Stegostoma tigrinum: one gene and its partner. The protein of the gene in region 1 purifies or fractionates together with the protein of each later gene. This does not show direct contact. Links are inferred from orthologs where the notes say so. Each region holds a gene or a part of one and is shown on either strand. Other genes may lie near its edges. The genes, in order: llgl2 and prkcz.

The links.
Region 2: the proteins of llgl2 (region 1) and prkcz purify together in Homo sapiens (affinity purification with mass spectrometry; 7 studies listed by BioGRID and IntAct, counting the BioPlex papers as one, with this or other methods). This does not show direct contact. The link is inferred for Stegostoma tigrinum from reciprocal best matches to the Homo sapiens genes LLGL2 and PRKCZ.

What each region holds. Positions count from the first base shown.
Region 1 is NC_081375.1:36,781,788-36,794,108, reverse strand, and holds the start of llgl2 (LLGL scribble cell polarity complex component 2), read right to left. Parts: upstream 4,820-12,321; 5' UTR 4,608-4,819; intron 1,981-4,607; exon of another isoform or gene 1,848-1,980; intron 1-1,847. Other genes in the region: tmem260 (transmembrane protein 260), read left to right, coding at 4,842-4,962, 5,069-5,100, 6,524-6,675, 8,931-9,108. UniProt on the Homo sapiens protein: Part of a complex with GPSM2/LGN, PRKCI/aPKC and PARD6B/Par-6, which may ensure the correct organization and orientation of bipolar spindles for normal cell division.
Region 2 is NC_081381.1:22,668,258-22,680,193, reverse strand, and holds the start of prkcz (protein kinase C zeta type), read right to left. Parts: upstream 5,723-11,936; 5' UTR 5,336-5,722; coding exon 5,262-5,335; intron 1-5,261. UniProt on the Homo sapiens protein: Calcium- and diacylglycerol-independent serine/threonine-protein kinase that functions in phosphatidylinositol 3-kinase (PI3K) pathway and mitogen-activated protein (MAP) kinase cascade, and is involved in NF-kappa-B activation, mitogenic signaling, cell proliferation, cell polarity, inflammatory response and maintenance of long-term potentiation (LTP).

The DNA of each region.
Region 1 (12,321 bases):
AGCCTACAACAGCCCTCTACACTGTCAACGACACCTCCGACCTTTGTGTCGTCTGCAAACTTGCTGACCCATCCTTCAATCCCCTCGTCCAAGTCATTAATAAAAATTACAAACAGTAGAGGCCCAAGGACAGAGCCCTGTGGAACTCCACTCACCACTGACTTCCAGGCAGAATATTTTCCTTCTACTACCACTCGCTGTCTTCTGTTGGCCAGCCAATTCTGTATCCAAGCAGCTAAGTTCCCCTGTATCCCAATCCTCCTGACCTTCTGAATGAGCCTACCATGGGGAACCTTATCAAATGCCTTACTGAAGTCCATATACACCACATCCACAGCTCGACCCTCATCAACCTTTCTAGTCACATCCTCAAAAAACTCGATAAGGTTTGTAAGGCATGACCTACCCCTCACAAAGCCGTGTTGACTGTATTTGATCAAGCCATGCTCTTCCAGATGGTCATAAATCTTATCCCTCAGAATCCTTTCTAACACCTTGCAGAAGACAGACGTGAGACTTACCGGTCTATAATTGCCGGGGATTTCCCTATTTCCTTTCTTGAAGAGAGGAATTACATTTGCCTCTCTCCAGTCCTCAGGTACGACTCCAGTGGAGAGCGAGGATGCAAAGATCTTCGCAAGTGGCGAAGCAATTGCATTTCTCGCTTCCCAAAGCAGCCGAGGACAAATCTGATCCGGGCCTGGCGACTTGTCAATCTTGCCATCTTGTTGCTCCCTCACTTAACCTGGGTCATTTTGCAGGCATTGTGCACCCCATTTATCTTGTAACCAGGTTTGCTGATACATCAGTTCTCTGGTTTCTGTCTTCCTAATATTCAATAGGGAAAAAAACCCAATTTACTCATTCAGTACTGAATGTCAAAATTTGGAGAAATCAAGAAAAGGGATAGTGGTGAAATACAGCTAAGTATAGCATACATGAAAAGTCAATGCTGTATTTTCAAATGGCACAAAGGCAGCTTGTCGATAACAAAAAGGAAGGAACTACAGTTAGATAACGGGGAGGACACATGGGAGAAGAAATCACTTGAAGTTACAGGAGAGAAGCAAGAAAAACAAAATGCCATTTTAAGCACCTGTTATACCACAATTTGACAGCTAGAAACACAACTGTTAAGTACAGGTCACCTATCCTCCACCTCTCTCAGCTCAATAAAGAAGTTGGAGTAAAATTCTATGTTAACCCTTTCAAAAAGCTACAAAAGCAAAACAGGACAACAATTCTTCATTACAGTTACATATCCCAAGACCACTTTTAGCATAGCAGCAAGGGCAAAAACCTATTGATAGAATTCATTCATGGGGTTGTTAAAGAAAAGCACAAAGCTGGGACTACAATGATATCAACAACTTCCTAATTACTTTATTACAAAAAAGGACGGTTCACGTGCGCAGTGGTCCGTACGCAACAAGAGGCCCAGGTTCAAAACTCCCATCTACACCAGAGGCGTGTATCCACGTTTCTGGGCAAGTTGATTTAAAAATACGTTAAGCTCGTTATGTTATCCAGTTGATTGCTAACCTGGTTTGCAATCCATTACCCAAACAGTTAACCATTACCCAAGTGATTATCTATTATCAAGCTGATTAGTAAGCCAACACAAACATTCATACGGAGTTTGGCCTGATTAACGGCAACCAGGCCAGCTGCCATTTCCCGTCACTACAGTAAACCTAACTCAGTCCCCGGTCGTTGCTCTGTAACTGAGCCCCAGGACAGGCCTGCCGTCCGGCTCCGAGCTGCCGGGTTCCTCGCAGGGCTTGGGGGCAGAAATGTGGTTGGATCACGATAGGCGCACCAATCTTGCTGGGCCTTCCCAATCTTACCTGAGCTCCGGGTGGCACTAACTGCTTAGCTCTCCCCTCTCACAAGCCGAATCCCCGCCGTCAGGTGTGGCCGCCAGGTGAAACCTCTTAAAGGGCCCGCACCGCTTCTACAGCGCGCAGCCGCACACAGCAACAGCCAACCGCCCAGTTCCCATTGCAGTCACCTCTTAAAGGGGCAGCGCTAAGCTTATTCGAGGCAGCAAACATCAAAAAGCGAGTTTAGCTTCTTCAGCAAAAAGAGCAAGGGATGATCTCGAACAAGAATAATTAACTGATGGAAAGCCATCAGTTGGAAAGCCAACTTGGTTGGGGGAGGCGAGAATGAAACTGACCCAAGTTTTTCCTTGCCAACCTTTGATTTCAATTTAACTGATCAATATTATACCTTCATAGAAGAGATATACCCCCGTTATTGTGCCTGGACTATTTCCACACAGGTGAAAACCAAGCCAAACAAATTAAGAGCGGCCTTGATGATCGAGATAGAGATTGAGATGAAGGCGAAATAAATTATGGAGTAAAAGATGTAAATTAAATACAATGGAGCACCAGCTCAATGTACAATGTCCCATCTAAGAGAAGCAAAAAGAGAGTATGAAAAGAGATTGTCAGCTAACGTAAGGGAATCTTAAAGTCACTTATTGGCATTTATGAAGTTAAATGGGAGACGAAAGAAAGAGTTGCTTAAATATAGACCAAAAAGGGTTTTTATGCACAGACGAAGGGGCATAATTGAGGTATTAAATTAATATTTAGCATTTATCTTTATTAAGGAAGAAAATGCTTTGCAGACCATCCATAATACCATATCCCTGAACTACTCTAGTCCACATAATGTAGATACCTTCAAAATGCTGTTAGGGCTGGATTTTCAGGAGTTTGACCCTGTGAAAATCCATCAGTGTAAGATGTTTCAAGTAAGGATTGTGTGATGCTTGGAAAAGAACTTGCAGAAAGAGCTGTTTCCATGCATTTGCTGCTGTTTACAAGTGTCAAGAGCACAAGTCTGGAACAGTCTGGCAGAGGAAGTTTGACAGGTTTTTTGCAGCGCATCATATAGCTGGTACATACTACTGCCAGTGTACCTTGGTGGAAGAGGAAGCTAATGCTTAAGGTGGTAGATAGGGTATCAAACAAGCAGGCTTCTTTGATAAAGATAAGGAAGTGTGGATCTGGATGAACACAGCAGGACAAGCATCATCTGAGGAGCATAAAACCCGATGTTTCGGGCCTAGACCCTTCATCAGAAAATCAGAAAATTTCTGATGAAGGGTCTAGGCCCAACATGTCAGCTTTTGTGCTCCTAAGATGCTGCTTGGCCTGCTGTGTTCGTCCAGCTCCACACTTTGTTATCTCAGATTCTCCAGCATCTGCAGTTCCCATTATCTCTGAAGCAGGCTTCTTTGTCCTGGATGTTGTTGAGTGTTGCTGGAGCTGTGTGTATCTAGCAAAGTGAAGAGTATTTCATTATATTCCTGACGTGTGTTACAGGTGTTGGACAAACTTTAAGGAGAGAGGGCATTAGTTACTTGCAGCAGAATTCCTAGCCTCTGGCCTGCTCTTGTCACCAAAGTATTGATGATTGGTCCAGTTCAGTTTCTGGTCAATGATGAAAACTAGAATGTTGATGGTGAAGGATTCAGTGATAGTAATGTCATTGAATATCAATGGGAGACAATTAGATACAATCTTGTTGGAGATCATTATTTACTGACATACATATGTCACAATTGTTACAGACTACTCATCTGTATGAGCTTGAATTCTATGTACATTTTATTGCTTATGGGCATAGACTACTTCAATACTTGAGGAATCGTGAATGGTGCAGAACATTGCACAGTCATTAGGGAACCTCTCCACATCTGACCGGAGGATGGAGGAAAAATTATTGATCACTGTCCTGAAAAAAACTGCTGCAGAGATGTCCTGAAGTGGGGAGGTGAGATGATTGGCCTCCAACAGTCACAGCCTTCTTCCTTTGTGCTTGATATGACTCCAACTGGTGGTGACTTGTCCTAATTCTATTTGATACCATATGGTCAAATGCTACCTTTATATGAACAGCAGTCACTCATACCTCACCAATTAGACTTTTTAATCCATTGGACCAAGGCTGTAATGAGGTCTGGAATTGAGTGGCCCTGGCAGAATTCAAAGTGAACACTGATGAGCAAGATGGACTGATGAATAAATGCCACTTATTGCCAGTGTAGCAGCTTTACTGGAGCAGATTGGCTAGATGCATGTCTAGTTTTGGGGCATAGGTCTTTGGTACTACTTTTGGGATATTGATAGAACCCATAGCCTTTGTTGAATCTCACGCACACAACTGTTCCTTGATATCGAATCAAGTGGCTAAATGCATCTGTCATGCAGGAAACCTCAGGAGGAGACTATTTAAGACCACTGCTTTTCAAGTATTGGCCATATTTCAGGACCACTGATCTTCAGTGAATGAACACATAGTGGTATGAACACAGTCTCAGGGGGTCTGCATCTGAGCTTGGCCCAAATGGTTATCCCAAGGTCTGAGATAACTGAGACCTGCATCCGGCTGCCTGTCTCTCTTCCACAGTCTTTCACTTTATTAATGAGCAAGGGGAAGTGATACCTTACCTAGCTAGTGGAACCTATAGGTGAGACCCAGTGACAACAGCCAGATCCTAATACTTAGTTGACTCAAAACGTTCTTTAGCTGGGCTCTGAATGTTGATGTTTTTAATCCTGCTCAGAATCAAGGCAATAGTGTCGCCCTACCTGTAAATGTCAGATTGGGTAATTGCCAGGCTGCTGTTTGGGATGTTACGGCGTGCCACTGGAAGCGCTGGGAAGGCCCTTACAGTACCAAACAGAAAGGAAAGAACTGCGGATGCTGCAAATCAGGAACAAAATCAGACCCGAACAGTACCCTCTCCTTCAAGGTTTTGTTTCGTTGGTCCAAAACTACCCATAGTGCTGTGTTCACGGAAGTGCTGTGGATCTCTGGTTTCCATGGGTTTCCCTGGAAACGGTGGTGGTCCGTGTTCGGGCTTCGGCCCGTTGCTGCTTCTCGGTGGTCTGTCCGCCGTCTATCTGCGGACAGTACAGCGCACGGTGCCCGGGGGAGACTCTGGTCAGTGCTGGGCCGGGGGAGGGGAGAGGAAGGGGATGTGAGCAATGGGGTGGCGTTGTTTTTGTTGCTCCTCTCAGTCACTGCAATGTTGCTGTTGTTTCCACAGGAGAGCTGGTGACTGCTGCTTGCGAACTGGGGGTGAGTGAATTCCTGCAGCTTCAGTGTTGAGGTCGGGTCGATGCTGATGATGGAGAAACCCTGGTAGAAAATGAAGAGCTGCAATCGGGCGTTTTTATCCCCCCCCTCGGGGGGATTACGGTTTTCAATAGGCCAACGAGAGTCAGTTTGAACAAATGGCGGCGAGGGGTTGGTGGTGGAAATGAGATTAGTGGCAAGAAAGCGTAAAGATGTGAGTTTCCCCAATTCCTGGTGTGGAGTCAGAGAGAATCCTGGTCATTGTGACTTTAACTCTGTTTGGATTGGAAGTAAAACTGAGAGGTGGCCTAGATGCTGGACAGTGTGCGAGGTGTGATAAGGAAGGAGGAAGAGAAACTGCCCCCTTGGGTGAATGGTGCAGAGAGTGATGGATAGGAAAGAGCACCAGGAGCCCAAGAAAGATTAAAGAGATTTGACGGAAATGGGAAGGGTTGGGATGAAATGTTTTGAGAGAAAGCAGTTTAGAGATGAAGGATTATAAGAGAATGGATGAGTGAAGGGTGAGCTGAAGACAGAGATGGTATTTTACTGTGAGTTAAATGCACAGTGGCTGGTGTACGAAACGGGTGAATCCTGAGTTTGATGAGGTACCTGGGAAATCAAGGAATTATTAGGTGGACCTCATGGAAATGATGTTGGTAAAGTAGAAACAAAACTGAAAAATGCCAGAAGCAGGTAAAAGGGGCCCTGAGATGTGCTAGGTTGTTGAGGTACTGGCAACAATACAAGAAGTATGGTCTCATCCTAGTTTCTGTTTCCACCTGACAGAGCCACCTTCTTGACTGCTACTACCATTCCAAGTCTTTGATATGTTCCATGCCAGATGATCTGACAAGTTATACTGCGTGTGCTGAGTTTGAGGTCCTCTGACTTGGGGGAGTAAAGACTGTAGTGGGCCAGCAAAAAAGGGAGGCTCCACAAGACAAATAATGGAGTGTTTGAGCTGGCTGACTATTCAGTGTGTTGCCCAGAAATGAGGGCACTGGAAATTTGGCACAAAGCTTGGGGATCTTTTTCCTAAAATCTATGTTTTGCATGTTGGTTTAGAGAAGGGGAGGAAAACTGAGTGGACGAGGGCAGAAGGAAGTGGTTGACTTTACAACTTCTAAATCCCAAGATCATGATCAATGGTAAGAGGTGACAGTAGTAGATGTGTGTTGAGTGAGCATTGGGTGGAGAAGTCTGAGATAGGTTTTTTTCACCTGGACATGATCTGGATTTGGTATTGTAGTCAATTGTATTCCTCTTAAGACTGTCTCCTCTGTTGGTGCATCCAGCAGTTGGCCAGAATGGCCTGCTTTAAGGATGGGTACTGGCTGCAGATGCTTGATCATGGATGGTTTTGGACATGTTATGTTTTGGGTGATGTGGGTGGTTTATGGTCTGTTGCTTTTCTGTTTTTCAGGTGGCACATCCTCCTGGATATCCATTGTTCACTGTCTTGGCTAGACTGGCAATGACCATTCTTCCAGTAGGCTCCCCTGTTTTCAGAGTCAATGTTTTAAATGCTATATTGGGAGCAGCTACAGCCCCATTAATCTTTGAGACAGCTGGGAGGTGAGTCCAACGTAGGGAACAGGATCCTACTCTATCTCTACAGACACTCCTATCAAAGTTTCAGAGACAGGGTCATTCAGCTTCTCAGACTTATCCACCATTCCATTCAATTGTAACTGAGCAGTATCTGAATTCTCTCAAGCAACCTGGGTTTCATAACCTTTTATTCACTTATCCAATACACAGCTGTTAATCTCAATTTGAAATTGTTAATTGACTCCGTTATTGGGGTAAAGTTCCAAATTTTCAGGAAATATTAGAAGTCTGGCAAGAGCCTAAGTAACAGTTAGATCTTTACTAAAAATAAAGTTAATGTGAGGAATGTGACCTGATCGGCTCCTTGTTCCGGGTCCCATTCTTAATGCAATCAACTTAATTTAACCATAAACATCTCAATTAAATCATCTTTTAATCTTATGTAATTAAGGGAATATAAATCCAGTCTAAATAGCTGTCCTCATGATTGAATCCCTTTTTGACACTGATGTATTATTTGTTGAATTATTCTTGAGGTGGATGAGCTGTTATTTAAAGGTACTATATACATGCATGGCCACTTCGACCTTTCTGAGTTGGGATACTTGAAACTAAATGCGGCACTTCTGATGTGCTGTATTTGAGCTTTATAGACGACAATATTCCAGTCCCCTTCAGCTTAATGTTAACATTGAATTCAGAAATTATTTTTGTGCCTGTGTACAAGCTTGTGACTTTTTTTCCCAAAATTTCCAAATCTTTCTGCTCCTGCACTGTTTGATCTTTCCTGCTAGATAGAAAATTGATTCAAATTTTCTGGTCCAGATTAGATGACATTTTTTTTTGGTCATTGAATTCATCTGCCAAGGTTTCATGCACTTGCTGAATCTTTCAATGTCACTTTGGCACTCCTGGTTCCCATCTACATAATTAATAAACACCAAAGCAAAATATTCTGGCTGCTAAATACCTAAAGTAGAAACGAAAAATTCTATATATACATAGCCAGCTATGATTGATCCTGGGAGACCCCAGTGCTATCAGCTTATGTGTAAAATGACTTGGCTACAGACAAATATTTGTGAAATGTGTGAACAATTCATTTTCATGAATTGAACAGTTATTCTGCCAAAGTACTTTTGAGATAATAATCTGCAGATTTATTTTTGTCAGGGCTGGACATTGTGCGTTTGTACGTTATATTTTGAGAAGGGTTAGAAACTTTGGGGAATAAACTAGTTATTCATTTCTTGCTTAAGGGATCTCACTGGACTGTTTCTGATACTGCCATTGCAGCTCATTATCACCTCTCCTTAAATTTAAACTTTGTTGAGCCCAGTACAGAAGGGGAAGAGAAATAGAATCCATTCACCGCTCTCTAAATTGGGTTGTGTAAAGACAGAGCCTCAGAGAATGGCGCAGTCAGGAATTAGCTGTCCCTTTGAGAGAAAATGAGAAAACAAACTTAATGTTTTGTGAATTACAAGAATGAAGCCATTAAAGCGTGTGAGAGTTGCAACAGATCAGGACCTATCTTTTGGTGCCCTTCCAACTTTTTTTGCTAAAGATCTAACTGTTACTTACGCTCTTGTCAGACTTCTAATATTTCTTGCACTTTCTCTTTCAACACCCTTTCCCCATCTTTTCCCCACATCCTGACAGCTCACTAGCCAATCAGCAGAGGTCACTCATTGGTGATCAGATGCTTTTAATCAAACTCAAGAAATCACAGCACACCAGGTTATTGTCTAGCAGGTCTATTTGAAAACACAAGCTTTCGGATCCTCACTCCTTCTAACACCGGAAGGAGTGAGGCTCTGAAAACTTGTGTTTTCAAATTAACCTCTTGGACTATAGCCTGGTGTTGTGATTGCTGATCTTGTCCACCCGAGTCCAGCACCTCCACTTCATTTAGTCAACCTGAAATACTCCAGCAGGTTTAGTAAGATGCCAGTGTTAACGGAACTGGGTGATTATCCATTATGGTGAATGGGGGTGGGGTTATGGGCGTGCATTGGTTTTTAGCATAATTGAATCATTTGAAATTGCACAGGCTGTGATCAATGATTTTAGCAAATGACAGCTGATTTTCTTTTTACTCATTGTGATTCGTTTTTGTTAAAGTCATGGAAATAACATTTTTGTCATGGAAAATGTCACAATAGGGAATAAATGGACTCAAGCTACCAATCACCCATCATCTGTTAGAACAGTTGTTCGGGAAAGATTGGGCTGAGTGGCTTGTTCCTGTTTCTGATATCCCATTCCATTTGTTTCAGGTTGTCAGATTCGTACACTGGAGGAATTCTCGCTGCTGGCCTCTTTGGCTTTTCTCGGTTGGCATGGCAGTGGTCTGTTGCAGCTGAGGTTTTCACCTTGAACAATTTTTTTGTTGGTCTTCTCATGGTCCTGACAGTTCGATTCAGTACAGCAGCCACATCACAGGAAAGGTCAAAGGTACATTCTGTTGCTTGCTTTCCCCATAAACAACAGACAACAAACAATGTGTCATAGGGGATTGGCTGAGAAAGTGTTGCAAGCCTGGCTTCAAATCACAAACTCAGGCGTATTGTTTATTGCAGTCGAGCAATGGGTTAACAAAAGAACAGTTGCATTAATTTATTTAGTCTTTCGACAAAAAATGATTTAAATATCATCATCCTGTCCTTGGACCCCAATTTCATTGCTCACTAGTTGTGTGGCGATCTGATATAAGTTAATAACATTGGGTGCCAACCAGCATCTCTTATATATACATATATAAGAGATGTATATTAATATTACATAGAATCCCTCCAGTGTGGAAACAGGCCATTTGGCCCAACAAGTCCACACTGACCCTCAGAGCAACCCACCCATACCCATCACCCTATAACCCACCCAATCTACACATCCCTATGGGCAACTTAGCATGGCCAATCCATCTAGCCTGCACATCTTTGGACTGTGGGAGGAAACTGGAGGAAACCCACGAAGACATGGGGAGAATGTGCACACTCCGCACAGACAGTCACTGGAGGGTGAAATTGAACTCGGGTCCCTGGTGCTGTGAGGCAGCAGTGCTAAACACTGAGCCACTGTGTTGCCCCATCACATTAGTTCAGTGAACACCACCTTGATACCCACAAAATTGCCCTGAAGAGTTTTCATGCCCATATTGGTGCAGTGTGCTATTTTTAAATATTCATTGGTGGAATGTGATTGTCAGTAGCTCAGCCAGTATTGACAGCCATTTCTAAATCCCCAGAGGGAAGTTAAGAATCCGCCACATTGCTATGGATCTGGAGTCACATGTAGGTCAGACTGGGTAAGGACAGCGGTTTCCTTCCCTAAAGACCCTGAGTGGACCAAATAGGTTTTTTGACAATCAACAATAACTTCGTAGTTATTGTGAAACTCTTAATTACATATTTTTGTTGAATTCACATTCCAGTATCTGTCATGGCAGAATTTGAGCCCCAGTCCCCAGATTATTACCTGGCTCCCTGGATTAATAATTTAGCGTTACTACCACTAGGCCATTGCTTCCCCCTATGGGTTTTCTACCCTCAAGGAAACCCTACCACATAGCAGATATTGTTGACTGATCTTGTACATTCTTTCTATTGTGTTGTAATCATGTTTCCTCGAACAAACAGTTTGCCACATTGATGTAGATTTGCTTTTGGGGAAAACCTCACTTGGAGATACTTGAAAGCCTGATGCTGTAATAATGTGAACCGTTGCAGGAAGATCCACCTTCTTTCCAGTTTTTTTTTGTTGTTGACCATCTTGCAGCAGAGCGCATAAATGTGTGCAGCTAAAGTGGAGGTAGTGAGGGTAGCTCTCACAACATATTCTGGCATGTGTGGGAGCTATAAGCCAAATCCCAACACAGTGACAGGGCAATGTCACTGCCTTTGTTGTCCCCTTAAATTGGTCCACTATTTCATGGGCAACTCTTTTGTAACTACCTCTACTCCTCCTTGCCCCTCTCCCGATGATAGCGGGAGAAGGACCATTGTCAAAGAGAGAACAAGCAGGAATAATTAACAACTTGTGTTTTTGTTGAGACTTTAATATGCATTTAGCAACAATTCATTGGATATGGACTTGGAACAGAGAAACCAGAAGACCTGATTGGTAGGTTTGAACTCGAGGGAAATAGGAGGAAATACAGTGACAGTTTAAGAGGCAGAACCAGGATAAAATTTGAGAACAATATCAGGACATTGGGAGTTAGTAAAGACCATAAAGTTTGAAGAGCAGTGATCATCAATGTTGCAAAATATGGTGCCTGAAAAAGATCAACTTAATAAATATCTCAAGACTCTTTACAGAAGTATGAGAAAACACTAAGCCACATAAGATGATTTTAGGTCATAGCGAGTTTTGAGAAGATTTGTTTCTCAGGTTGAGGTTCTGGATGTGAGTTTGCTCGCTGAGCTGGAAGGTTAGTTGTCAGACGTTTCGTCACTTGTTTTTATTTGAAAAAATATACTTTATTCATAAGATGTACAAAAAATAAAACATATTTATACACCTACCCAGTCATGCAAGCTGCTCTGGGTCACCCACGGGGTACGTACACCAACTAAAGGAAAAAAAAACAAAGAAGAAGAAAAAAACAAAGCAAAGAAAATACCCCGGCAGTCGTCACCCTGCACAGTCCCCGTTGGCCCCCTGTCAAGTTGGGGAAGGGGGCAGCTGGGTCCAGTTACCAGATAGGGCCCTTTTTTCCATTCTGGACGAGGGGCTTCGTACAGTGGTCTTTACCCACCGCGCCTTGGTGGCGGCTGCCCCAAGCTTTAGCGCGTCCCTCAGCACGTAGTCCTGGACCTTGGAGTGCGCCAGTCTGCAACACTCGGTCGGGGTCAGTTCTTTCAGCTGGCAGACCAGCAAGTTGCGGGCAGACCAAAGAGCATCTTTCACCGCATTGATGGTCCTCCAGGCGCAGTTGATGTTGGTCTCAGTGTGCGTCCCGGGAAACAGCCCAGAGAGCACTGAGTCCCGCGTCACGGAGCTGCTCGGGACGAACCTCGACAAATACCACTGCATCGCCCTCCAGACCTCCTGCGCATAGGCACACTCCAGAAGGAGGTGATCGACAGTCTCGACACCCCCGCAGTCGCCTTGAGGGCAGCATGCGGTGGCGCAGAGATTCCAGGCATGCATAAAGGATCTCACTGGCAGAGCCCCTCTCACCGCCAGCCAAGTAATGTCCTTGTGCTTGTTTGAAAGTTCTGGCGATGAGGCATTCTGCCAAACAACTTTGGCAGTCTGCGTGGAGAACCACACGACGGGATCCACCCTCTCCTTTTCCCGAAGGGTCTCGAGGATACTACGTGCTGACCACTACCTGACGACCTCATGGTCAAAGGTGTTTCCTTTCAAAAATTTCTCCACAAAGGACAGGTGGTACGGGACGGTCCAACTACTCGAAGCGTTCCGTGGCAACGAGGCCAGGCCCATCCTTCGCAACACCGGGGACAGGTAGAACCTCAGTGAGTAGTGACACTTGGTGTTTGCGTACTGAGGATCTACACATAGCTTGATGCAGCCGCGCACAAAGGTAGCCGTCAGGGCGAGGGTGGCGTTCGGTACGCCCTTTCCCCCATTTTCCAGGTCCTTGTACAGGGTGTCCCTGCGGATCCGGTCCATCCTCGAACCCCAAATGAAGTGGAAGATGGC
Region 2 (11,936 bases), on another chromosome or scaffold:
CTTTAGTCCAACTCAACTGTGCTGACAGATATCCTATATAAACCTAGTCCCATTTGCCAGCATTTGGCCTATATCCTTCTATCTCCTTCCTAATCATACAACTAATTTTGTAACTGTACCAGCCTCTACCACTTACTCTGGCAGCTCATTCCATACACACACCACCTTCTTTGTGAAAAAACTGCCCCTTACGTCCTTGTTATATTCTTTCCCCCCTCACCTTATACCTACGCCCTTTCATTTTGGACTCCCCTACCCCGGGGAAAAGACCTTGCCTATTTACACTATCCACGTCCCTCACGATTTTATAGACCTCTAAGATCAGCCCTCAGCCTCCAACACTTCAGAGAAAACAGCCCTAGCCTATTCAGCCTCTCCCTGTCGCTCAACCCTCCAAACCTGGCATCATCCTTTTCTGAGCCCTTCCTAGGGCAACAACATCCTTCCTATAGGAAGGAGGCCAGGATTGCATGCAATTCTTCAAAAGTGACTAAACCAATGTCCTGCACAGTTGCAACATGACCTCCCAACTCAATGCACTGACGAACAAAGGCAAGCAAACCAAATGCCTTCTTCACTATTCTCGCTACCTGCATCTCCACTTTCAAGGAGAAATGAACCTGCACTCCAAGGTCTCTTTCTTCAGCAACACACCCCATGGCCTTACCATTATGTGGTTAAGTCCTGCCCCAATTTACCTTTCCAAAATGCAGCACCTCACATTTATCCAAATTAAATTCCACTTGCCATTCCTTTGTCCATTGGCCCATCTGATCAAGATCACATTGTACTCCGAGGTAACCTTCTTCGCTGTCCACCACACCTCCAATTTTAGTGCCATCTGCAAACTTACTAACTATACATCCTATGTTCAGATCCAAATCATTTATATAAAAGACACGCAGCATTGGACCCAGCACCAATCGTTGTGGCACACCGCTGGTCACAGGCCTCCAGCCTGAAAAGCACCCCTTAACCACCACCTTCTGTCTATCTTTCAGCCAATTCTGAATCCAGATAACTAGTTCTTCCTACATTCCCTGTGATCTTACCTTGCTAACCAGTCTACCATGAGGAACCTTGCTGAACACCTTAAATGAAGTACATCCCCACACACAAAGTCACAACGACAATCCCTAAAACAGTCCTTGCTTTTCCAAATGTATGTAAATCCTGCCCCTCAGAATTCTTTCAAACTGCTTTCCCACCATTAATGTCAGGCTCACTGGACTATAGTTTCCTGGCTTTTCCTTATTGCCTTTCTTAACTTCTGGCATAATAATAGCCATCCCAGTCTTCCACTTCTCCACCTGTGGCTACTGATGATACAAATTTCTCTGCAAGGGGCCCAGCAATCTTTTCCCTTGCTTCCCAGAGTTCTGATCCTGGGGATTTATCCACCTTCATGCATTTTAAAGATGTTCAGCATCTCCTCCTCTGTAATATGGACATTTTTCAAGATGTTGCTATTTATTTCCCCATGTTCTCTAACTTCCATATTTTATATTCCATTGCTGGTTTATAAGCTGTTGTATTGCTTTGGAATTTTGAGAAAGCTTGACCATAATGCTTTAGGACGTCACTGTCGAATAGATGACCAGTGGTCATGTTGGGAATTACACTTATGTGACAATCAGCTTTTCTTTGAGTTTAACTGTGGATCACCCTTTTAGATTTGTCAGTCACCTTGAACTTATCTCTTGTATCACTCGTTTACTGGAATTCTGATTCCATTCCTACATTTCTCATCCTACTAGAACTAAAGCACTTAACTTTTTGCCATCTAACCAAGTTCTAACTGACTTACTTTTGCGCCTCTTCAGGAGTCAAAAATAGTATCTATCCATTACCTATATGCAGATATATTCTGGTATGATGCCCTTATATTCAACCTTCTTAATTTCAAGGAGCTACCTCTCCCATTAAGTGTAACAGACTCAGAAGTTCTCTCTCATGACCATAAGACAGAGGAGCAGATGGAGGCCATTTGACCCATAAAGTTTACTCTTATCATTTCCATGATTGATAATCCTGAATTCCACTTTCCTTATTTATCTCCATTACACTTGCCTCTATTACAGAAGTAAAATCTGCAAAATCATGAGCTTAAATCAACTTGGTCATATATTACTCTGTAGGCCAAGGGCTTTTCATTTCATCACTATTTACAAAATAGTTGATTGCAGGCAGTCTAACCTTTTTTGTATATACTATTTTCCAACAATGACTCTCCAAGATTAATTGAGCTGTTGTCTTATCAAGTTGTTAGAATTTATTTTCTATTTCAATATTCCCAGATATTATGCACGTTTGAAGGGATTCCATTTGCACAATCACAGAGTTTGATCCTGGAACTGCTGGTATGTCTGAACAGCTACTTTGAATCCCAACTGACTAATACTATTGGGGGACACTGGTTTTCTCGACCTGAGGTCTTCTTTGACAGACTTGGCAAGAAGATCAAACACATTTGTCCTCTCAAACATCTCCAAGACACACAAATTTCCAAATAACCTCATCAGTTACTTGTCCACGTTGTTTTAAAGTACATGTGAACATCAGTTTTCATATTATAACATGCAACAACAGAAATAAGCTTATGATGGTAAGGCCAGATTTGTAGAATAGTCTCTCCAAAATCAAACTGACACTTCACAAACTACGCACTACACTCATCCATGTACATGCGAGAAGGCCAAGTTAGTCAAGTAGATTCAGAATACATTAATGTTGTTTTCAGTTTTAAACACTTTGCTGTGTCAACCAAACAAATAAAATCTTGTTCTATGTCTAAAAGGTGAAATTGATGTTTTCCACTGGAATGAAAAGGGATCCATATCAGATTGCAGTGTGGCTTTTTTTGGATAATAAAGTTTTTAAACTTGGCATTCCTCACTTTGCGCTCCCAGTAAAAATCAAGTTTGCTGTGTGTCAGTTGGATAAGTAATTTATTGGATATGCATTCCCAAAGGAAGCTGGTTCAGCCATTAGGTTTACAAATTCCTGCTCTATAATTATAATCAAAGTCATAACTCAAAATTCCCCAACATAATACTTAAGCACATCATGCAATTTTTTAAAAATCCTTTCACAGGATGTGGGTGTTGCTGGCTAGGCCAGCATTTATTGCCCGCCCCTAATTACCCAGAGGGCAGTTAAGAGTCATTGCTGTGGGTCTGGAGTCACATATAGACCTTACCCAGGTATTGATGGCAGTTTCGTTCCCTTAAAAGACAGGGGCAAACCAGATGGATTTTTCCTGATAATCAACAAGGGATTCATGGTCATCATCATTAGACTCTCAATTCCCGATTTTTATTGAATTCAAATTCTATTTGCCCAATGGGATTCAAACCTGGGACCCCAAAATATTTCCTAGGTATACATTTTTGATATAGAATCCCTAGTGTGTAAACAGGCCCTTCGGCCCAACAAGTCCACACCGACCTTCACAGCACCCCACCCAGACCCCATTCCCCTAATCTACACAACCCTGAATACTATGGGCAATTTTAACATGGCCAATCCATCTAGCCCGCACATCTGAGCCATGGGAGGAAACTGGAGCACCCAGGAGGAAACCCACACAAGCACAAGGAGAACGTGCAAACTCCACACAGACAGGCGTCCGAGGTGTAGAATTGAACCCGGGTCTCTGGCGCTGTGAGGCAGCAGTGCTAACCACTCAGGCACCGTGCTATGATTCTTTGGATTAACTGAGAGTCTATGGATTAACAGTCCAGTGATAATACCACTAGGCCACTGCCTCCCCTTATATCTACACACAAGATGTTTGGCTGAACAAGAGTGGCCAGAAAATACAGCACCATGCTACTTGACAACAACAACAACAACAACAATCCAATGAGATTTAAATCATTGAAGAGACAGGAAGAAAACTAAATTCTGTAAAAAAATCTTTTTTATCTTCAAGCAAAGAGACAACCTGAGTGTAACAAGGCTGAAAGCTGCAATATAGAGTAGCTTTAGTTTGTGTCTCTGGTTTCAGGTTACGTGTATACTATTACACATGTAAAATCCCAATTATATGGCCTTCAGTCCTCCTTTTGCCACGTCATTTCTGAAGTAACTGATTTATTCTACAATGCTGTCAGTTTGTTGATAATTGAGAGAAGAATGAAGTAGTGATAACTGACCAAGTTGGATTTAGCCTATTTAACGTGGGCAGAACATATGTGGGTAATTTTTCACATTTTCTCATAGATACCTTAATGAAAAATGTACTTTAACAGGTCAGCTAGGTACCTGGCTGGTGCTGGAGCATGATTTATCAGCACAATTGTTGGAATGTTGTTAGGCTCCACATTCTCTGCAGTATCCAGTGTCTTTGGACGTTTGTTGCAATCACATGGGTAGAATCTAATTGGCTGGATGCTGCCATGTTGGGTCCTCATAGGCAAATTGAGGTCACGAAAATGTTTTTCAGATTTTGTCACAAACCAAAAAAAACTTTAGATGTGCTTGGTTGTGATAGACTTGAAAAATCAAACGTACCTAATATTTAGCATGCCATCTAATTCCAGGTGTTATATTTGTTTACAGTATCACAACCAACATAATGGCAAATTAATTGAAGAGAAAAGACTGAACACTCAGAACCACTAGAAGGCTGTAATATTTAAAAGCTCAAAATTATGCAGACAGAAGCCATTACCTGAATTAGTAAATTAAAATTCCTGCAAAAACAAAACCCATAACTACAGGGGCTGAAGGACTAAGACATCCTTGTTTTGTCATACAGATTTTATGATCAACACCAGAGTCACAACCTTTGGCTGATGCCCCAAATTATTCACACTGAAGGATAATTTAAGCATGTCCACACCAAAACAGGAATCAAAATAACTAGCCCATATTTAACAGGTCTAATAATGTAACGCGTAAAATTCTTAGACAAACAGCGCACTTTAGACAGCATCCTGTTCAATAACGTCAAAGCCAAATGTTTAGTATGGTAAGAAAATAAATAGTTTTCGAATAGATTAACTGGAAACATACACTGTTAGTGTTAAAATGCTTGAAACTCTGCATATCTTCTCTGTAACTGCCTACAAAAAAAGTGTCAAAAAAGTTTCACAGCAGCATGATCGCACAGATAAATTGTTTTTCCCTGAAGAAAACGCTTTCATCTTTCAATCAATTTTCTAAGAGACGCAATAAAACAAAACGCTTTCTTAAGCGAATAGTATGCTAGGTAAATACTGTGGGAAGCTATCGAGTGTCAAATTATTTTAACTTACCCATTGTAGTGAGCTTTGACTTTGATCGAGTCACCTGTTCCGTGCTCCATGTTGTTATCCAGCCTCGTAGGCATGACACAATCGACACTCCACCAGCGAACGGATTCAAAGTAAACCAGCGCAAACTTTCGGACAGGAAGGCGCAGTTACGAAAAAGCCTCTCGCTGCTTCTCCAGTACAAATTCCACCACTTTCCTTTTAGGAAAACCCAAAGCTTCAACCTCAGCAGATCTTTGCTTGTTTAAAAAAAAGCCGAATTGAATCACAGAAGCCAATCAAGTTTCAGAAAAGATGGAACATAAGACTTTCGATGAAACTCGTTATTATTCAATGTCGTGACGAAGTATCAACTCGTGTTTCTTTTTGCTCGATTGCGCTCCTAAGGAAACTTGTTGCTGCCGGTAGCCCGCCACTCTAGCAAAGCTCGCGCTGCACAAATGGCGGTTACAGGTTAACCGACAATTCCCACCCTGCGCCGCCCCCCCAGCGTGGACACCACAAGCCGCATCAACAACCAATCACATTCTAGCAGAAGTTACCTGTACTACCCTCCCTCCCCAGCCAATCCCGAGGGACAAACCGGCGAACGGAATCCCACCTTGGCCAATCAGGAACAAATCGAACTTTGACCAATAGAACAAGGGATGGCTGCGTTGTTTAATGAAAAACCTGCCGCCAATCCGATCGCGGCCTCCGCCCTCCCCAAATCACCTGGAACCAATGGGAGACAAGAAGCCTCTCATACTGAACAACAGAATGAAAGCCTTGCACTGAAATCGCGTTCGTCACGCTCTTTCGGAATGTCATCACTGATTTAGGAGATAACAAGGTGTAGAGCTGGATGAACACAGCAGGCCAGGCAGCATTAGAGGAGCAGGAAAACTGACGTTTCGTGTGAAGAGATAATGGGAACTGCAGATGCTGGAGAATTCCAAGATAATAGTGTGGAGCTGGATGAACACAGCAGGCCAAGCAGCATCTCAGGAGCACAAAAGCTGACGTTTCGGGCCTAGACCCTTCATCAGAGAGTTGCGTGTGAAGACCCTTCTTTCTCTGATGCTGCTTGGCCTGCTGTGTTCATTTAGCTCTACACCTTGATATCTCAGATTCTCCGGCATCAGCAGTTCCTACTAACACTGAGTTGGGAGACCTGCGTTCAAGTGTCACTTGCTCCAAAGGCATGTAAATAACATCCCCGACTGGTATTCTGACAAAAAAAACCTGCCTTTTTCCAATGGCAGACTCTTCCCTGACTAACATTGAAAACAGAGTCCAAAAAAAACCCAGCAGGTGTCTTCTAAGTCATATATTTTCCCAGAAGTATACATTAAAATAAAATGGGTCCTTTCATTTACCTTTAACACAGGACCAATTTGCATTGATTAGAAAATATCTAAAACGTCCTTTCAGGACGACCTGACCTCTTGATTTTATTAACTCATTGGACATGGGTGTCACTGGCTGGGCCAGCATTTATTGTCCATTCCTATTTGCCTTTGAGCTGCCTTTATGAACTGCTGCATTCTATGTGCTGTAGGTTGGCCCACAATGCCCTTAAAGTGGAAATTTCAGGATTTTGACCCAGCAACAGCCCTTGTCCTTCTGGATGGACATGGTTGTGGTTTTGGAAGATGGTGTCTAAGGATCTTTGGTGAATTTTTGCAGCGCATCTTGTAGGTAATATATTCTGTTGCTACTGAGCATTGGTGGTGGATGGTGTGGATATTTTGTTGATGTGGTGCTAATCAAATATCCAGGTTGATGTCAAGCTTCTTGGATTTGGATTTGCATCACAAATGTATCCTTGCAGAGCTTATCAGAAATAGGCATTGTTTTTATTAGCCATGACTCAGTGATAGCACTCTTGCCTATTTGTTAGTAAATTGTGGGTTTAATTCCCACTGCAGCTGGAGCTCTACCCATTCAGGCAAATGAACAGTATTCAATCACACTCCTAAACTGCGCCTTGTAAATGGTGGATAGGCTTGGGGAGTCAGGAGGTGAGTTACTCACTACTGTTGATAGTGGAGATTCGGTGATGGTAATACCATTGAATGTCAAGGGGTAGTGGTTAGCTTGTCTCTTATTAGAGCTGGTCATTGCCTGGCATTTGTGTGGCATGAACGTTACTTTCCACCTGTCAGCCCAAACCTGGATATTGTCCAAATCTTGTTGCATTTGAACATGGACTGCTTCAGTATCTGAGGAGATGTAAATAGTGCTGAACATTGTACAATCATCAGCAAACATCCCCAATGATGGAGGGAAGGTCAATGATGAAACAGCTGAAGTTGGGATGGCCTCAACACAACCTTGAAGAACTCGCGCAGAGATGTCCTGGAGCTGAAAGGACTGACCTCCAACAACCACAACCATCTCCTATGTACCAGCATGACTCCAACCAGAGGAGAGTTTTCCATTTGATTCTCACTGATTCTGGTTTTATTGGGAACCCTTGCTGCCATACTTGATAGAATGCAGCTTTGATGTCAAGGGCTGTCACTCTTAGCTCACCTCTGGAATTCAGCTCTTTGTCTATGTTTGAATCAAGGCTATAATGAGGTCAGGAGGTGAACAGCCGTGCCAGAATCTGTACTGAGCAAGTTATTTTTGAGCAGGTGCTGTTTGACAGCACTGTTGATGACACCTTCCATCGCTTTGAGCTGACTGAGGGGATGGTAATTTGGCTTGGATTTGTCCTGGTTTTAATGTACAGGACATTCCTGGGCAATTTTCCACATTGTAAGGTAAATGCCAGTGTTGTAAATGTACTGGAAGAGCTTGGCTGGGGGGTGGCAAGTTCTGTCATAGAAATTTTCAGTACTATTGCAGAATGGTGTCAGGTACATGGCCTCTGTAGTGTACAGTGGCTCCAACCATTTCTTAATATCAAGTGAAGTGAATCAAATTGGTTGAAGACTGGATCCATAATGCTAGGGGCCACTGGAGGAGGCCAAGATGAATCATCCACTTGGTATTTCTGGCTGAACATTGTTATGAATGGCTTATCTTTTGCACTGATGCGTTGGGCTCTTCCATCATTGAGGCTCAGATATTTTTGCTGCTCCCTCCAGTCAGTTTTCAAACATTTTAAAGTCAATGAAGTGTAATCACTGTTGCAATGAAAGTAAGGAAGTTCTGCAGGCAATTTAAATGCTCAAAGGTCACTCAAACAGCGTCCTGATAAAGGTCAGCTAACCTGCTCATAGGATCGGCTGACGGTAAACGAATAAAATTTACTTGAAAAACTGTCTTTTGTGTATATGCAGAAAAGGCAACACAGTGGCACAGTGGTTAGCAAAGCTGCCTCACAGTACCAGGGACCTGGGTTCGATGCCAGCTTTGGGCAACTGCCTGTGTGGAGTTTGCACATTCTCCTCATGTCTGTGTGAGTTTCCTCCGGGTGCCTTGGTTTCCTCCCACAGTCCAAAGATGTGCAGGCTGAGTGGATTGGTCATACTAAATTGCCCATAGTATTCAGGGGTATGTGGGTTATAGGGGGATGGGTCTGGGTGGGATGCTTTGGGGTTCAGTGTGGACTTGTTGGGACGAAGGGCCTGTTTCCACACTGTAGGGATTCTATGATATTACTGTGGAATCTTCAGCATCCAGTCAAAAGGACAATTTATGGTCTCAATAAGGACTATATCTCTAATACTGCAGTACTCCCACTGGAAATGTTCCAGTAGTTAGCACAGCTGCCTCACAGCATCAAGGGCTTGGGCTACTGTCTGTGTGGATCTTGCATGTTCTCCCCATCTGTGCAGGTTTCCACTGAGTGCTCTGGTTTCCCTCCACAATCTAAGGACATGCAGTTTAGGTGGATTGGCCATGCTGAATTGCCTCGTAGTGTCCTGGAATGTGCAGGTGGGTTAGCCAGGTGAATGAGATAGTCGGAACTGCAGTGAAGAAGGGTCTAGACCCAAAACATCAGCCTTACCTGTTCCTCTGATGTTGCTTGGCTCGCTGTGTTCATCCAGCTCTACACCTTGTTATCTTTTGAGCCAGGTGAATGCTGGGTTACGGGGTTAGCATCGGAGGCTGCGTCTGGGCCGAATGCTCTTCTCAGGGTCGGCTCAGATTCAGTGGGCGGAATGGTCTCCAACTGCACTGTAGGGATTCTATGATTCTAGATGTTATGCTCAAATCTCTGCAGTGGGAATTAAACCCACAATTTACTAACCAATAGGCAAGAGTGCTATCACTGAGTCATGGCTAATAAAAAGGATGCATATTTCTGATAACAAAGTGTGGAGCTAGATGAACACAGCAGGCCAAGCAGCATCTCAGGAGCACAAAAGCTGACGTTTCGGGCCTAGACCCTTCATCAGAGAGCTCTCTGATGAAGGGTCTTGGCCCGAAACGTCAGCTTTTGTGCTCCTGAGATGCTGCTTGGCCTGTTGTGTTCATCCAACTCCACACTTTGTTATCTTGGATTCTCCAGCATCTGCAGTTCCCATCATCACTCATATTTCTGATAAGCTCTGCAAGGATACATTGGTGATGCAAATCTGAATTATCTCCAATCTATCACACATTATTATAAGTTCTAACAAAGGTATCAAAAATTTTAATAAGTTGCAAACTACACTAGATTACAGGATGGCATTGTGCCCAAATGCAAAGCTACTTCATTTTTGTGTTGAACGTTATTTTGACTTAATGGATCGAGGTATTGATTCTCTCCAAATGCTCCTTCAGAAAGTGTATTCCTGGCTACATGTGTTGTAAAGACACCAGGAAGAGAGTTGTAGATGATCCTGGATATATATATGGTGTCAAACGGGAGGCTAGCCAAATCAGCATGCAGCAGTCAGATTTAGATATGACAAGAGCGTGGATGAGGAATTCCATAACAGATGAACTGAGGCACAAATAGTGTCGAGCATCTGGAAGTGGAACTCAGCACTCTTGGTGATTGAGTGAATCTGGGGTCAGAAGCACAACCTGGGTCAAATATAACTTCAAAGTTGCAAATAGTTTAGTTCATCCTCAGATAGCTATAAGAAAAAGAGATAAAGACATCAGAATAGATTTCGTGATGAAGACCAGGCAATTGAGTTTGCCAAATATTTAGCTGGACAAAATTTTTGCTTGCATTGCATGAAAAACAAATCAGGTAATCAGAGACAGTGGAAGGCTCAAGGAACGTTGTGTCAAGATAGAGCAGAGCATGTTTTACGTATGAGTGGAACCTACCATTGTGTTTATGGGTGATTGCAAAAGGATAGAAAGACTGTTAAGAAGGAAGATCACAACGACAGATCCTTACACAACTCTCTCAGCAATCACTCATATTGAGTTTGATTGTCCTCGATAACAGCATCTATTTGGGGGTCTTCTGGTGGCTGAGGTGGCTGAAGCGGTCAATCCAGGATCCACAGATTCTAATGCAATGTGGACACGGTGGGTGGTAATGGTGGTTGGAAGTGGTGGTTGGTGCGCCTTCCTGATGTTCTGTGTATCCTTGTGCAAGAGTCACTTCTGTTCAGCGGCATGATGGAGATTGTTTTTGTGGCATATAGCTCCCTGGTGAGTGACATTTCTCCAGTGATTCTGTTTTGTAGCCACGTTGATATGAAATTTCTTGAAGTTGGTCTGGATGTTATCTTTGAAGTGTTCCTTTTGGCCACCAGCAGCATGTTGATCTTCCTTTAGCAGGGAGCACATGATCTCTTTTTGGAGGCGTAAGATGGGCTTTTGGATGACATGGCCAGTCCATTGGAGTTGCTGCGGAATTATGATGGTGGTGACGCTGGCTATTTTGGCCTCCTCCAAGTTGTTTGTGTTCGTGCGCTTTTATTTACAGGTGATCCGTGGGATTTTTTGTAGGTATATCTAATGGTGTTATTCCAGTGCTTTAAGATTCCTCGTGTACGTAGTCCACATTTTAGTTCCATTTGGCAGTGTGGGAAGGACAATGGCTTTGTAGACCAGAAGTTTAGTCCGGGCCTGTAGGTTATTGTCTTCAAACAGCCTTCTTCTGAGTCAGGCACAGCCTCCAATGACACGGCTCAAATCGTGTATTTCTGCATCAATGTTGGCTTTGCAGGAGAGAAGGCTGCCGAGGTATGGGAAATGATGCACATTTTCAAGGGCTGGTTGTTGACCCTTATTTAGGAGCCGTTGCTGGGTGGTGGTTGATGGACTGCTAGAGTCTTTTTAATGATAAGTGTAAGGCCTAGGAGATTATATGCCTTGGCAAAGCCATCCGAGGCACACTGAAGATCTTCTGCAGCGTGTGCTGCAATGGCACTGTCATCAGCATATTGAAACTCCAAGATGCATATGGTCGGAACCTTGCCCTTGGCCTTGAATTTATTAAGGTTGAACAGCCTGCAAAGTCCATATGATAAATGATTTGAATTCTCTTGGGCAGGTTTTGGCCAGTGAGATGGAGGACGGCGGCAATGAAGATGGGTAACAGGGTGGGTACAGTGATGCAGCCCTGCTTGACCCCAACCCCATGGTGAAAGGCTCAGACTCCAATCCACAGTTGTTAAGCATTGTCGCAGACATGTCATCATGCAGTAGCCTCAGCTTTCGGATGAGCTTGTCAGGGCAGCCCCATTATGAGAGTGTCAGCAAGACAGCCTTAAATAAGTCAATGAAGACCATTAAAAGCATGTTTTTGTGCTCATGGCATTTTTCTTGTAATTGATATGCTATGAAGAT